Linked DNA regions of Callithrix jacchus. The protein of the gene in region 1 binds, or shares a complex with, the protein of each later gene. Links are inferred from orthologs where the notes say so. Each region holds a gene or a part of one and is shown in the gene's direction. Other genes may lie near its edges.

The links.
Region 2: the proteins of SERPINC1 (region 1) and F9 are in contact, whole or in part, in a crystal structure (PDB 3KCG), measured with the Homo sapiens proteins. The link is inferred for Callithrix jacchus from reciprocal best matches to the Homo sapiens genes SERPINC1 and F9. Residues at the interface, in NP_000479.1 of Homo sapiens: Glu264, Asn265, Arg267, Glu269, Met283, Met284, Tyr285, Glu287, Met347, Val349, His351, Val420, Val421, Ile422, Ala423, Gly424, Arg425, Ser426, Leu427, Asn428, Pro429, Asn430, Arg431; in NP_000124.1 of Homo sapiens: Lys247, Val248, Asp249, Ala250, Phe251, Cys252, His267, Cys268, Glu270, Glu285, Tyr312, Arg358, Phe360, Lys362, Gly363, Arg364, Ser365, Leu367, Lys387, Phe388, Asp405, Ser406, Cys407, Gln408, Gly409, Asp410, Ile429, Ser430, Trp431, Gly432.
Region 3: the proteins of SERPINC1 (region 1) and F2 are in contact, whole or in part, in a crystal structure (PDB 1TB6), measured with the Homo sapiens proteins. The link is inferred for Callithrix jacchus from reciprocal best matches to the Homo sapiens genes SERPINC1 and F2. Residues at the interface, in NP_000479.1 of Homo sapiens: Lys258, Glu264, Asn265, Arg267, Tyr285, Glu287, Gly288, Lys289, Glu345, Met347, His351, Ala419, Val420, Val421, Ile422, Ala423, Gly424, Arg425, Ser426, Leu427, Asn428, Pro429, Asn430, Arg431, Val432, Lys435; in NP_000497.1 of Homo sapiens: Leu389, Leu390, Cys391, His406, Cys407, Tyr410, Pro412, Trp413, Asp414, Lys415, Trp455, Arg456, Glu457, Asn458, Leu459, Asn506, Thr510, Trp511, Thr512, Ala513, Asn514, Val515, Gln519, Arg541, Ile542, Asp562, Ala563, Cys564, Glu565, Gly566.

The regions. Positions count from the first base shown.
Region 1 is NC_133519.1:29,149,085-29,152,733, forward strand, and holds part of SERPINC1 (antithrombin-III), read left to right. Parts: intron 1-3,483; coding exon 3,484-3,649. UniProt on the Homo sapiens protein: Most important serine protease inhibitor in plasma that regulates the blood coagulation cascade. AT-III inhibits thrombin, matriptase-3/TMPRSS7, as well as factors IXa, Xa and XIa. Its inhibitory activity is greatly enhanced in the presence of heparin.
Region 2 is NC_133524.1:136,311,625-136,315,273, forward strand, and holds part of F9 (coagulation factor IX), read left to right. Parts: intron 1-550; coding exon 551-679; intron 680-2,757; coding exon 2,758-2,960; intron 2,961-3,649. UniProt on the Homo sapiens protein: Factor IX is a vitamin K-dependent plasma protein that participates in the intrinsic pathway of blood coagulation by converting factor X to its active form in the presence of Ca(2+) ions, phospholipids, and factor VIIIa.
Region 3 is NC_133511.1:111,772,016-111,775,664, forward strand, and holds part of F2 (prothrombin), read left to right. Parts: intron 1-718; coding exon 719-824; intron 825-920; coding exon 921-1,057; intron 1,058-3,472; coding exon 3,473-3,649. UniProt on the Homo sapiens protein: Thrombin, which cleaves bonds after Arg and Lys, converts fibrinogen to fibrin and activates factors V, VII, VIII, XIII, and, in complex with thrombomodulin, protein C. Functions in blood homeostasis, inflammation and wound healing.

The DNA.
Region 1 (3,649 bases):
GTCAATCTAAATGGGCAAAAAAAGCCCAAGGGCTGAGTGAAAAGATTCCGACAGTAGAAGGCAGAGCTGAACCAACTTCTCCAAAAGTCCTGCCTCTGCCTCCTTGTCCCTACCCTTATTTCCTCCTTGCCTCCATTTATTTTCATTTTTATTTTTTAATACAGAATCCCACTCTGTCACCCAGGCTGGAGTGCAGTGGCACAGTCACAGCTCACTGCAGCCTTGAGCTCCCAGGCTCCAATAGTCCTCCCGCCTCAGCCTTCCAAGTAGCTGGGACTACAGGTGCACGCCACTATACCAGGCTGATTTTTAAATTTTTTGTATGTTGCCCAGGCTGGTCTTGAACTCGTGGGCTCAAGCAGTCCTCTTGCCTTGGCCTCCCAAAGTGCTGGGATTACAGGCATGAACCATCACGCGTGGCCAGCTTACCCTCTTTCACACTACTGGGCATGTGTAGATCCTTTCTGAGAAATGGTCCATGCATGATCTGGGAAGACAAATGCATTTGCTGAGAGCCCAGAATCTTTTGAACTATGGCTGCTGGGCTACTGTACAGGGAGGTGTGGTAGTGTCCCTAGGCTGATGGCAGAGTGGGCACACAAACAAACCCATCACATCCCATTGCAAGGTGTGCACAGTGACAAAATCTCATATATATGTGATTCTGCTGTCTAGTTAACTCCATTTTGAAATCTGGAAGAAAATGACAGAGTCAATGTGTTAACAGTCTTCAGTGCTGCGATTTTTCCCCATCATCTGAAGCAGCTTCTACAATGACTCAAATTTCCCTTTGCCCAAATCTTATTTTTGAAAATTTATTTTTATATTCCTTTTTTTATTATTTTTGAGATGGAGTCTTGCACTGTCACCCAGGCTGGAGTGCAATGGTGTGATCTCAGCTCGCTGCAACCTCTGCTTCCCGCGTTCACGGGGAGGTTGATTCTCCTGCCTCAGCCTCCGGAGTAGCTGAGATTATAGGCGCATACCACCACACCCATCTAATTTTTTGTATTTTTAGTAAAGATGGAGTTTCACTATGTTGTCCAGACTGGTCTCAAACTCCTGACCGCATGATCTGCGCACCTCGGCCTCCCAAAGTGCTGGGATTACAGGCATGAGCCACCTCGCCCAGCTATTTTTATATTCTTCACCTTTTTTTCCCTTTCTTTTTTTTTTTCGAGACGGAGTTTCGCTTTTGTTACCCAGGCTGGAGTGCAATGGCGCGATATCGGCTCACCAGAACCTCCGCCTCCTGGGTTCAGGCAATTCTCCTGCCTCAGCCTCCTGAGTAGCTGGGATTACAGGCACGTGCCACCATGCCCAGCTAATTTTTTGTATTTTTAGTAGAGACAGGGTTTCACCATGTTGACCAGGATGGTCTTGATCTCTTGACCTCGTGATCCACCCTCCTCGGCCTCCCAAAGTGCTGGGATTACAGGCGTGAGCCACCGCGCCCGGCCCCTTTCTTTTTCTTTTTTTGAGACAGAGTCTCACTCTGTTGTCCAGGCTGGAGTGCAGTGGCATAATCTCACTCTCTGCAACCTCTGCCTTCCAGGTTCAAGCAATTCTCCTGCCTCAGCCTCCCAGGTAGCTGGGATTACAGGCGCACGCCACCATATCTGGCTAATTTTTGTATTTTTAGTAGAGACAGGGTTTCACCATGTTGGTCAGGCTGGTCTTGAACGCCTGACCTTGTAATCCACCCGCCTCGGCCTTCCAAAGTGCTGGGATTACAGGCGTGAGCCACCGTGCCCGGCCTACCTGAGACCTTTCTATGCTCCAATTTCTGCATCTATTATATGATAATAATGATACATCTACCATATAGGGGTACTGAGGTAGTTACTGCAAGTAAACAAGGTGAAAGTTAATGCATGCAAAATGCTTAGAACAGTGCCTGGCACACAGTAAGCATTCTATAAGCATCAGCTATCACCAGCTCCTAGTTTACAGATGAGAAACCACCACTCAGAAGATTTAAATGGGCCAGGCAGGGTGATCACACTTGTGATCCCAGAACTTTGGGAGGCTGAGGCAGGAGGATCACTCAAGCACAGAAGTTCAAGACCAGCCTGTGCAGCACAGGGAGATCCTGTATTTACAAAAAATGAAAGTTAGCCAGACATGGTAGTACACTCCTGTAGTCTTAGCCGCCTGGGAAGCTGAGGTGGGATGATAGCTTGAGCCTGGGAGGTTGAGGCTGCAATGAGCCATGAGCTTGCCACTGCATCACTCCAACACGGGACACAGAGTGAGACCTTGTCCGCCACCAAAAAAGAAGAGTTAAATGGCCTGTTTCCAAATCAAAGAGCTAGAAAGTGATAAGAATCGCAATTTTATTTTTTATTTTTTTTGATCCTTGGTGCTAAACCAAGAATCACAATTTTCGTTTTTTGAGACGGAGTTTCGCTCTTGTTACCCAGGCTGGAGTGCAATGGCGTGATCTCGGCTCACTGCAACCTCCGCCTCCGGGGTTTAAGCAATTTATGCCTCAGCCTCACGAGTAGCTGGGATTACAGGCACACGCCACCATGCCCAGCTAATTTTTGTATTTTTAGTAGAGACTGGGTTTCACCATGTTGACCAGGATGGTCTCGATCTCTTGACCTTGTGATCCACCCGCCTTGGCCTCCCAAAGTGCTGGGATTACAGGTGTGAGCCACCGCGCCTGGCCAAGAATCACAATTTTCGAAAGTGTCTCTTCTATCTCAGGGTCCCTCCCAGTTTGAAGAAGTCAGTCAGGACGCATCCTCTGCTTGTTATCTATGTCTGTGTCTGGCAGAGCCTAGGACTTTTGAGGTTGACCCTTAGAAAAGAGGTCTGGGGACTCAGGCCTGTAATCCCAGCCCTTTGCGAAGCTAAGGCAGGTGGATCAACTGAAGTTAGGAGTTTGAGACAAGCCTGGCCCACATGGTGAAACCCCGTCTCTACAAATACAAAAATTAGCCGGGCATGGTGGCGGGTGCCTGCAATCCAAGCAACTTGGGAGCTGAGGCAGGAGAATTGCTTGAACCCGGTGGGTGGAGGTTGCAGTGAGCTGAGATCGTGCCATTGCACTCCGGCCTGGGCAACAAGAGCAAAACTTGGTCTCAAAAAAAAAAAAAAAAGAGAAAAGAAAAAGAAAAGAGGTTGGTGAAAGGCAGACAGCACAAGGCAATTAGACTTAAACTCAAGAAGAGATTTGCAGAGAGGCTTGTACATTGTTCTTGGTTTTGTTTTTTATCTTTCTGATTATAGAAGCAAATACGGCTGAAAATCTGGGGAAATACAGAAAAGTACACAGAGAAAAACCTATTCATAGTCCATCGTTCTGACATAGTCATTATTAACCTTTTTGTGCATATCCCTCCAGTCTTTTTTCCTAATAATTGTACTTATCTATTAATGTCATACTATAATATGAATGCCTTGTATCAGTAAATATCCTCCTATAGATGTTCTTGTTGTCACTTTGTGATTCTCTCACCTGGTGTTCTCTTCCAGGGCCTGTGGAAGTCAAAGTTCAGCCCTGAGAACACAAGGAAGGAACTGTTCTACAAGGCTGATGAAGAGTCGTGTTCAGTGTCTATGATGTACCAGGAAGGCAAGTTCCGTTATCGGCGTGTGGCTGAAGGCACCCAGGTGCTTGAGTTGCCCTTCAAGGGTGATG
Region 2 (3,649 bases), on another chromosome or scaffold:
CATGGATTAATCTCACAGACAAAATGTTAAATGAAAGACACAGAGGAGTACATATTGTGAACTTCTATTTGTAGTTCAAGAACTGACAAGAACTATTTAATGTGTTAGAAGTCCAGGTAATGGTAACCTATAAAAAGGAAAAAGGGTGAAATGATCAGGCGAGGGCATCTTCTGGGGTACTGATAATGTGCTATGTGTTTGTCAGTTTAGTGTTTACACAGGCTCATTTACTTCATGAAAACTTATACTAAAGTTGTGTGTACTTTTCTGAACATGTTATACATTAATAAATAGCATTTTTAAACCTGTAGTCCATGATTTAGTGAAAGTAGAATATGCAAACATTTCGTTTTAAACCAATCAGTTATAGTGCTACCACCATTTTTATGCCTTATTTTACCTTTGTTTTCACTCTTAGTTCAAGGCTCCAAAATTTCTCTCCATGAATGCCCCCAACATATATTTGACCCATACATGAATCAATAGTTCCATGTACTTTTTAGAAATGCATGTTTAATGATGCTGTTACTGTCTATTTTGCTTCTTTTAGATGCATCATGTAGCATTAAGAACGGCAGATGCACGCAGTTTTGTAAATTTAGTGCTGATCACAAGGTGGTTTGTTCCTGTACCGAGGGATATCAACTTGCAGAAAACCAGAAGTCCTGTGAACCAGCAGGTCATAATCCAAATAAGACTTTTTTAAAGAAAATATTTATCTGAACCTTCAGCATTTTAACAAAACTACATAATTTTAATTCCTACTTAAATCTGCTTCCTTTTGAAATCATATAAAAGATCAGTAGCTTGAATTAGACAAATTTTCTAAATTGCATATTTTAAATATAAACTATGTAATCATCTCCAGCCTGAATTCTTTTCTGTGTCCAATCTTTTTCTCTAACACTTATATAACAAAGCAATTAATTTGTGTGATTTCTGCACATATATTTGTAATTCATCAAGTCAAATCAATGTAGTAAGACTACATCATAAAATACACAAAAATGATTGAGTGATAGGCTTCTGGTACAAGGATGGTGAATTTGAAGCATGATTCTATTTGGGCTGGCTAGTTTACTGTGAGAAAGTTATTTTTTTATTGTTGGGTCTCAAGCCAAATTTACACACATGGTGTCAGAATGATTCCAGCCATGAACTGTTTTAAGTTCTGCTAGGCTGATCAGTACAATCTATATGGCAGAGGACAAAGCAATGTTTCCCAGTCATATCAACCATGCCACCATTTTACCAGCTGATTAGTGTATTCGGAACATCTCCACTCCATGTTCGTATGGCTCCTCTCTCAAAATGAAAGCAGTAGACACTTTTACTTTTTAAAAAATTTAGGCTCTACAGGGTCAAATGTATTTGAAAATTAGGGGTCTCTTTGAAGCAAACTGGATATAATTTCTTTTGCATTTCCAAAGCCTGATATCTTATTAAATTGGTACATTAAATAATGTACCATTTCTCTATAACTGGTTCCAATACCTATCTCAGCATAACACTAGGCAGAGGAAATTAAAGAAAGAAACAGAAGCCCGGAATATATATCCTGCAACTAAAATGAGGCGTGTCTAAGGCTTCAGGACCTGCCCAGTTGTCCTTCTGCCTGGCTCTTCAAATACACCATCTCAAAGCTAGTCTACCTTGAGAGGAGCATGAATCTGGGCGTGGGTGTGTGCCTGTGTGTGTATTTTAACCTTAAAAACCTAACTTCCAGTATAGACAGATGCTATAGTAGCTAAACCCTTACCAGCTCTTCCATGCTATAAAAGAGAAACAGAATTGAGAACCACCTCCAATTTATTAAGTGTTACATTTGAATATAGCCTTAGCTGTAGCAGAATAAGTAGGCCAAACTTAAAATAAGCTTTTCTGCCTTTTCAACAATAATGGTCCCTTTGCTCCAGCCATTGTTGATCATGTATATTTATACATAAGTATTTTAAAATAATTTCCTGTTTTCTCAACCACTTGCTGTCTTCATGATACTTTGTCGCAGCTGGTTGCTATAGAAATATCTGTTACAAAGAATGTGGCTTGAAGGAAAGTGAGAAATGAAAATGAAACGTGAGGTAACTTTGTTTTACTACAAATTCCATCTGGTAGTCCCCAGTGTATTAACAGATTATTTTTCTTTAGAAAATAAATCAACCCAAGGAAAAATGGTGGGCAGGTCCTGGTGAATATGGCTGTGATAATCATATCAGGAATCTCTTTGGATAATATTTAAAAGCCAGGCAATTGAATCACAATTCTCTCTCCCCAGAAAATACCTAAAATGCACCTTGGAATCTAGGCATTTTAGTCTGCAAAATAAACCCTCTTAATGATAAGCAGAAGTCCCATTTACTGAATTGGAAAGTTAAAGTTACAAGGCATCAATCACCAGACTTCCATTCAGGGATGGCACTGGGAGTAAGATTTTTTAGTAAAGAAACTAAACAGAAAGTCATTAGACTCTATAAAAGTCTTACCAAATTTGATTCTGGAATCCTATTCTATTTCCGTAAAGATGATGAATTCCGGAGCCAAATGTTCTTTTCATGAAGGATTTGAAAACTTTCCACGAAAATAATTCAATCAACCTTTTAGCTTGAGACTTTATTCACTGATTAGATTTTGAAAAATACTGATGGGCCTGCTTCTCAGAAGTAACAAGGATGGGCCTCAATCTCAATTTGTGTAATGCATGTTACATTTACCAATGAGAAATATCAGAATACTAATTTTTTTCTTCTATTTTTCTAGTGCCATTTCCATGTGGAAGAGTTTCTGCTTTACAAACTTCTAAGCTCACCCGTTCTGAGACTGTTTTTCCTGATGTGTACAATGAAAATTCTACTGAAGTTGAACCCATTTTGGATAATGTCACTCAAAGCACCCAATCATTTGATGACGTCACTCGAGTTGTTGGTGGAGAAGACGCCAATCCAGGTCAATTCCCTTGGCAGGTACTTTATACTGATGATATGCCAAAACTGGAGCTCAGCTGGCAAGACACAGGCCAAGTGGTAGACTGAGGCTAGTTTACTAGACAGACCTATTGGGATGTGAGAAATATTTAGGCAAGTTTCAGCACTAACCAATGTGAGAAAGCCTCCAGAGATGAACAGCTGGTAAAAGAGAGGTCCAAAAGTAACTACTATACAGATCAAGAAGAATTTGCCATTAAGGAAACAGCATAGCAGAATTCCAGACAGGCAACTGGTTAGCAACATGAAGGTCTGGAAGAAAGGTTACAGGTACTCAGGTTCAGGGTACTACTTCAGCTTCAGCTTTTGCAAAGTTGGAAAGACTTTAGGCCCAGAGAAATTGGATTATTTTAAAGGGGGCAAAGAAAGGGACTCAAGGAGTAAGGATTAAGGCAAGAATTAGGTTCCAAGAAACAGGGTATGAGAGTCTTTGTCTACAGCTATGGTTCTCAAAGTATAGTAGCATCAGAATCACCTGGGAACTTTGAAATGCAAATTCTCATACTCCACCCTAGACCTACCAAATCAGAATATCTAGGGGGTGGGGCCCAGCAATCTGTGTGCAAACAAGCGCTGCAGGTGATTTTGATGCACATTATAGTTTGAAAACTAGGCCAGGTACAGTGGCTCATACCTGAAATCCCAGCACTTTGGGAGACTGAGACAGG
Region 3 (3,649 bases), on another chromosome or scaffold:
GCTTGTAATCCCAGCTACTTAGAAGGCTGAGGTGGGAGAATTGCTTGAACCCAGGAGGCAGAGGTTGCAGTAAGCCAAGATTGTGCCACTGAGTTCCAGCCTGAGTGACAGAGCAAGACTCCGTCTCTAAAACAACAACAAATAAATAAATACATAAACAAATAAAGTGATTGCAACAAAAGTTCTGTTCAAGGCACCGAGAGAACACAGGAAAATGAGTGTCTGGTTTGCCAGAAGAATGAGAGACAGCTTCCCAGGAGAGGCAGAGTTCTGCCTGGCCTGGGGGGATGCCCAGATGAACAAACAAGAGGGCATTCCGGGCAGAAAAAGCCCGTGGAAAGACCCAGAGGCACGAGGAGCCAAGCTAGCAGGGACAGGTAGACCGGGGCCAGATGAAAAGGACCTTGGTCACTTTTTCATCCCGCTGGCCAAGAGAAGCCACTGAATGGAAGTTCCCTGAGGGCAGGGCTGTAACTGTCCTATTTGTCGTGCTGAGCACCCAACAGTGCCTGTCACATGGTGAGCACTCAGCAAATACTTGGAGGCCACTGTTGAGTGAATGGGAGAACTGCAGGATGGAGAGGAAGAGGAGCTGGGTGAATGCAGGTTAAGGATTGTGGACCACTGTGAGCTTGGAGGCAGGGACAGACACAACTTTGCTGGGAGAGAGGAAATAAGTCCCCAGGCTCCAAGGCTGACCGGGGTGGGGTCCCCACAGGTAACTGTGCGGAGGGTCTGGGTACGAACTACCGAGGGCATGTGAACGTCACCGCATCAGGCATCGAGTGCCAGCTATGGAGGAGTCGCTACCCACATAAGCCTGAGTGAGTGATGAGCCGGCCTTCCCACCAAGGGCTGAGAACAGGGAGCAGGGACACCCCGTGGGCCATAGCCTCCTACTGGGAAATTTCCTGTTCCAGAATCAACACCACCACCCATCCCGAGACCGACCTGCAGGAGAATTTCTGCCGCAACCCTGACAGCAGCACCATGGGACCTTGGTGCTACACAACCGACCCCACCGTGCGGAGGGAGGAATGCAGCATCCCTGTCTGTGGTGAGCTGGGGGCAATGAGGCAGCCCACAGCCAAGGCCCGGGGGCTTCCTGGGGCCTGGCAGCCTGGGATGGCAACCAAGATGCCTGGCTACCTGGGTGCAGTGGCTCATGCCTGTAATCCTAACACTTTGGGAGACTGAGGTTGGCAGATCACCTGAGGTCAGGAGTTCGAGACCAGCTTGGCCAACATGACAAAACCCTATCTCTACTAAAAATACAAAACTAGCCAGGTGTGGTGGTAGGCACCTGTAATCCCAGCTACTCAGGAGGCTGAGGCAGGAGAATCACTTGAACCTGGAAGGCAGAGGTTGCAGTGAGCTGAGATCATGCCACTGCACTTAAGTCTGAGCAACAAGAATGAAACTCCTTAAAAAAAAAAAAAGATGCCAGCTACCTTCAGAGCTGGCCTCAGTCATTCATATCATATCTATGTCTATTGCACAGTGAAGTCAGGGAATCAGAGATCTGCCAGCTTCCTTCTTCCCCTCCCCACTCTTGACTTCCTGATGGTCCAGGCCGTGGCTCATTCCAAACATGCCTCCTTTCTGATCAAGGCACTCCTCCCTCCAAGAAGCCCTCCCTAGCCACTTCAGTCCACATGCTCTGTTCTGAGTATCACAGAGCAAGCCTCGTGCCCTGAGAGTTGGCGGGCGTGGTGCTGCTGATCTCAGCTGCACTCGCTGACGAATCCGTAGGGTCAATTCACGGAGGCTGGCCATGGCTGGGTGGCTCTGATTCAAACAATGGTTCCAGCTGAGCCTGGCTCCTCATTGAGGGTTGGGCCTAGATCTGCTCCACGTGTGTTCTTGCTGGGGCTGAGACAAAAAGACAGCAGGTAACTGGGAAGACTTTTCTTAGCTGATGGCAGACACAGAAAACAACAAACAGGAAAGGTCATCTGTTCTGAAGACCTAGGCTCCGAACAGGTACAGTCAGCCCCGCCCGCGTTCCACTGACCAGAAGTCTATGTTCAAGGCCAGAGTCGAGAATTGAACTACACCTCAGCCTGTGAAATCACAGCAACGGATGGGGATGCAGGCAGGGGTAAAGAATTAGTGCTGGTTACCAGTCCACAAACATGCGTTCGTGTTCTTTGTTTTCTAAGCATCCCTGTTGGGCCCATTGCTTGTTCCTGGGGTCAGTTTTTTTTTCTTTTTGAAACAGTCTCACTCTGTCATCCAGGCTGGAGTGCAATGGCACAATCTTGTCTCACTGCAACCTCCCCCTCCTGGGTACAAGCAATTCTCCTGCCTCAGCCTCCCATGTAGCTGGGACTATAGGCACACGCCACCACGCCTGGCTAATTTTTTGTATATTTAGTAGAGAGAGGGTTTCTCCATGTTGGTCAGGCTGGTCTCAAACTCCTGACCTCAGGTGATCCGCCCGTCTTGGGCTCCCAAAGCCAGGAATGAGTCACCGCCTGGCTCCTGCGATTGGATTTATAGCAAGTTCATCCTAACGAAAAAGGCTACCATTTACCCCCCAACTCCCATATGCACACACACACACACACACACACACACTGATGATAAATAAGTTTCAGGCTTGCAGAAATTGACCTACTCTCCAGGTGAACATCTTAGTGATCCCAGCAAGCTTCCTGCTGTGCCCTATAAAAACACAGACTCAGGCCGGGTGCGGTGGCTCACGCCTGTAATCCCAGCACTTTGGGAGGCCGAGGTGGATGGATCACGAGGTCAAGAGATCAAGACCATCCTGGTCAACAAGGTGAAACCCCGTCTCTACTGAAAATACAAAAATTAGCTGGGCATGGTGGCGCACGCCTGTAGTCCCAGCTACTCGGGAGGCTGAGGCAGGAGAATTGCTTGAATCCAGGAGGCAGAGGTTGTGGTGAACCGAGATCGTGCCATTGCACTCCAGTCTGGGTAACAACAGCGAAACTCCGTCTCAAAAAAAACAAAAAAACAAAAAAACACAGACTCCTCCAGCAGCTCCAGGCAGCCACTATCAGCTGACTACAGATAACCCAAGAGGCCAGTGGAATGTGAGTGGGGCTGACTGTGCCTGTTCTGGGCCTAGGCCTTCAGGACACATGACGCTTTTCTGTTCCTTGTTTTCTGTGTCTGCCATCAGCATAAGAGTTTTCCCAGTTGCCTGCGGCAGCCTTCAGACAGTCACTACCAGCTGACCACAGGTAGCCCAGGAGGCCAAACCTGGTTACTATCTCTGGTTTATTCTGTGCCAGACACTTAATGCTGTATATTTTAATTCTCTCAACAAGCCTGCTAGAGTGGCGTTGATAACGCCTTTAAAGGCAGACAAACAGAAGCCCAGAGAGGTTAAGTAACCTCAGGCCATGCAGGCAGAAAGCAGCAAGATCGGGGTTCACATCCCTGTCTGTTCCGGTCCATGTGTGGTCTCACACATACTGCCTCCTCCTTCCTCACACACCAGGTGAGGATCGAGTCACTGTAGCGATGACTCCACGCTCCAGAGGCTCCGGGGGAAATCTGTCACCTCCATCGGAGTGGTGTGTCCCCGATCGGGGGCGGCAGTACCAGGGGCGCCTGGCAGTGACCGCAAGTGGGCTCCCCTGCCTGGCCTGGGCCAGCCCGCAAGCCAAGGCCCTGA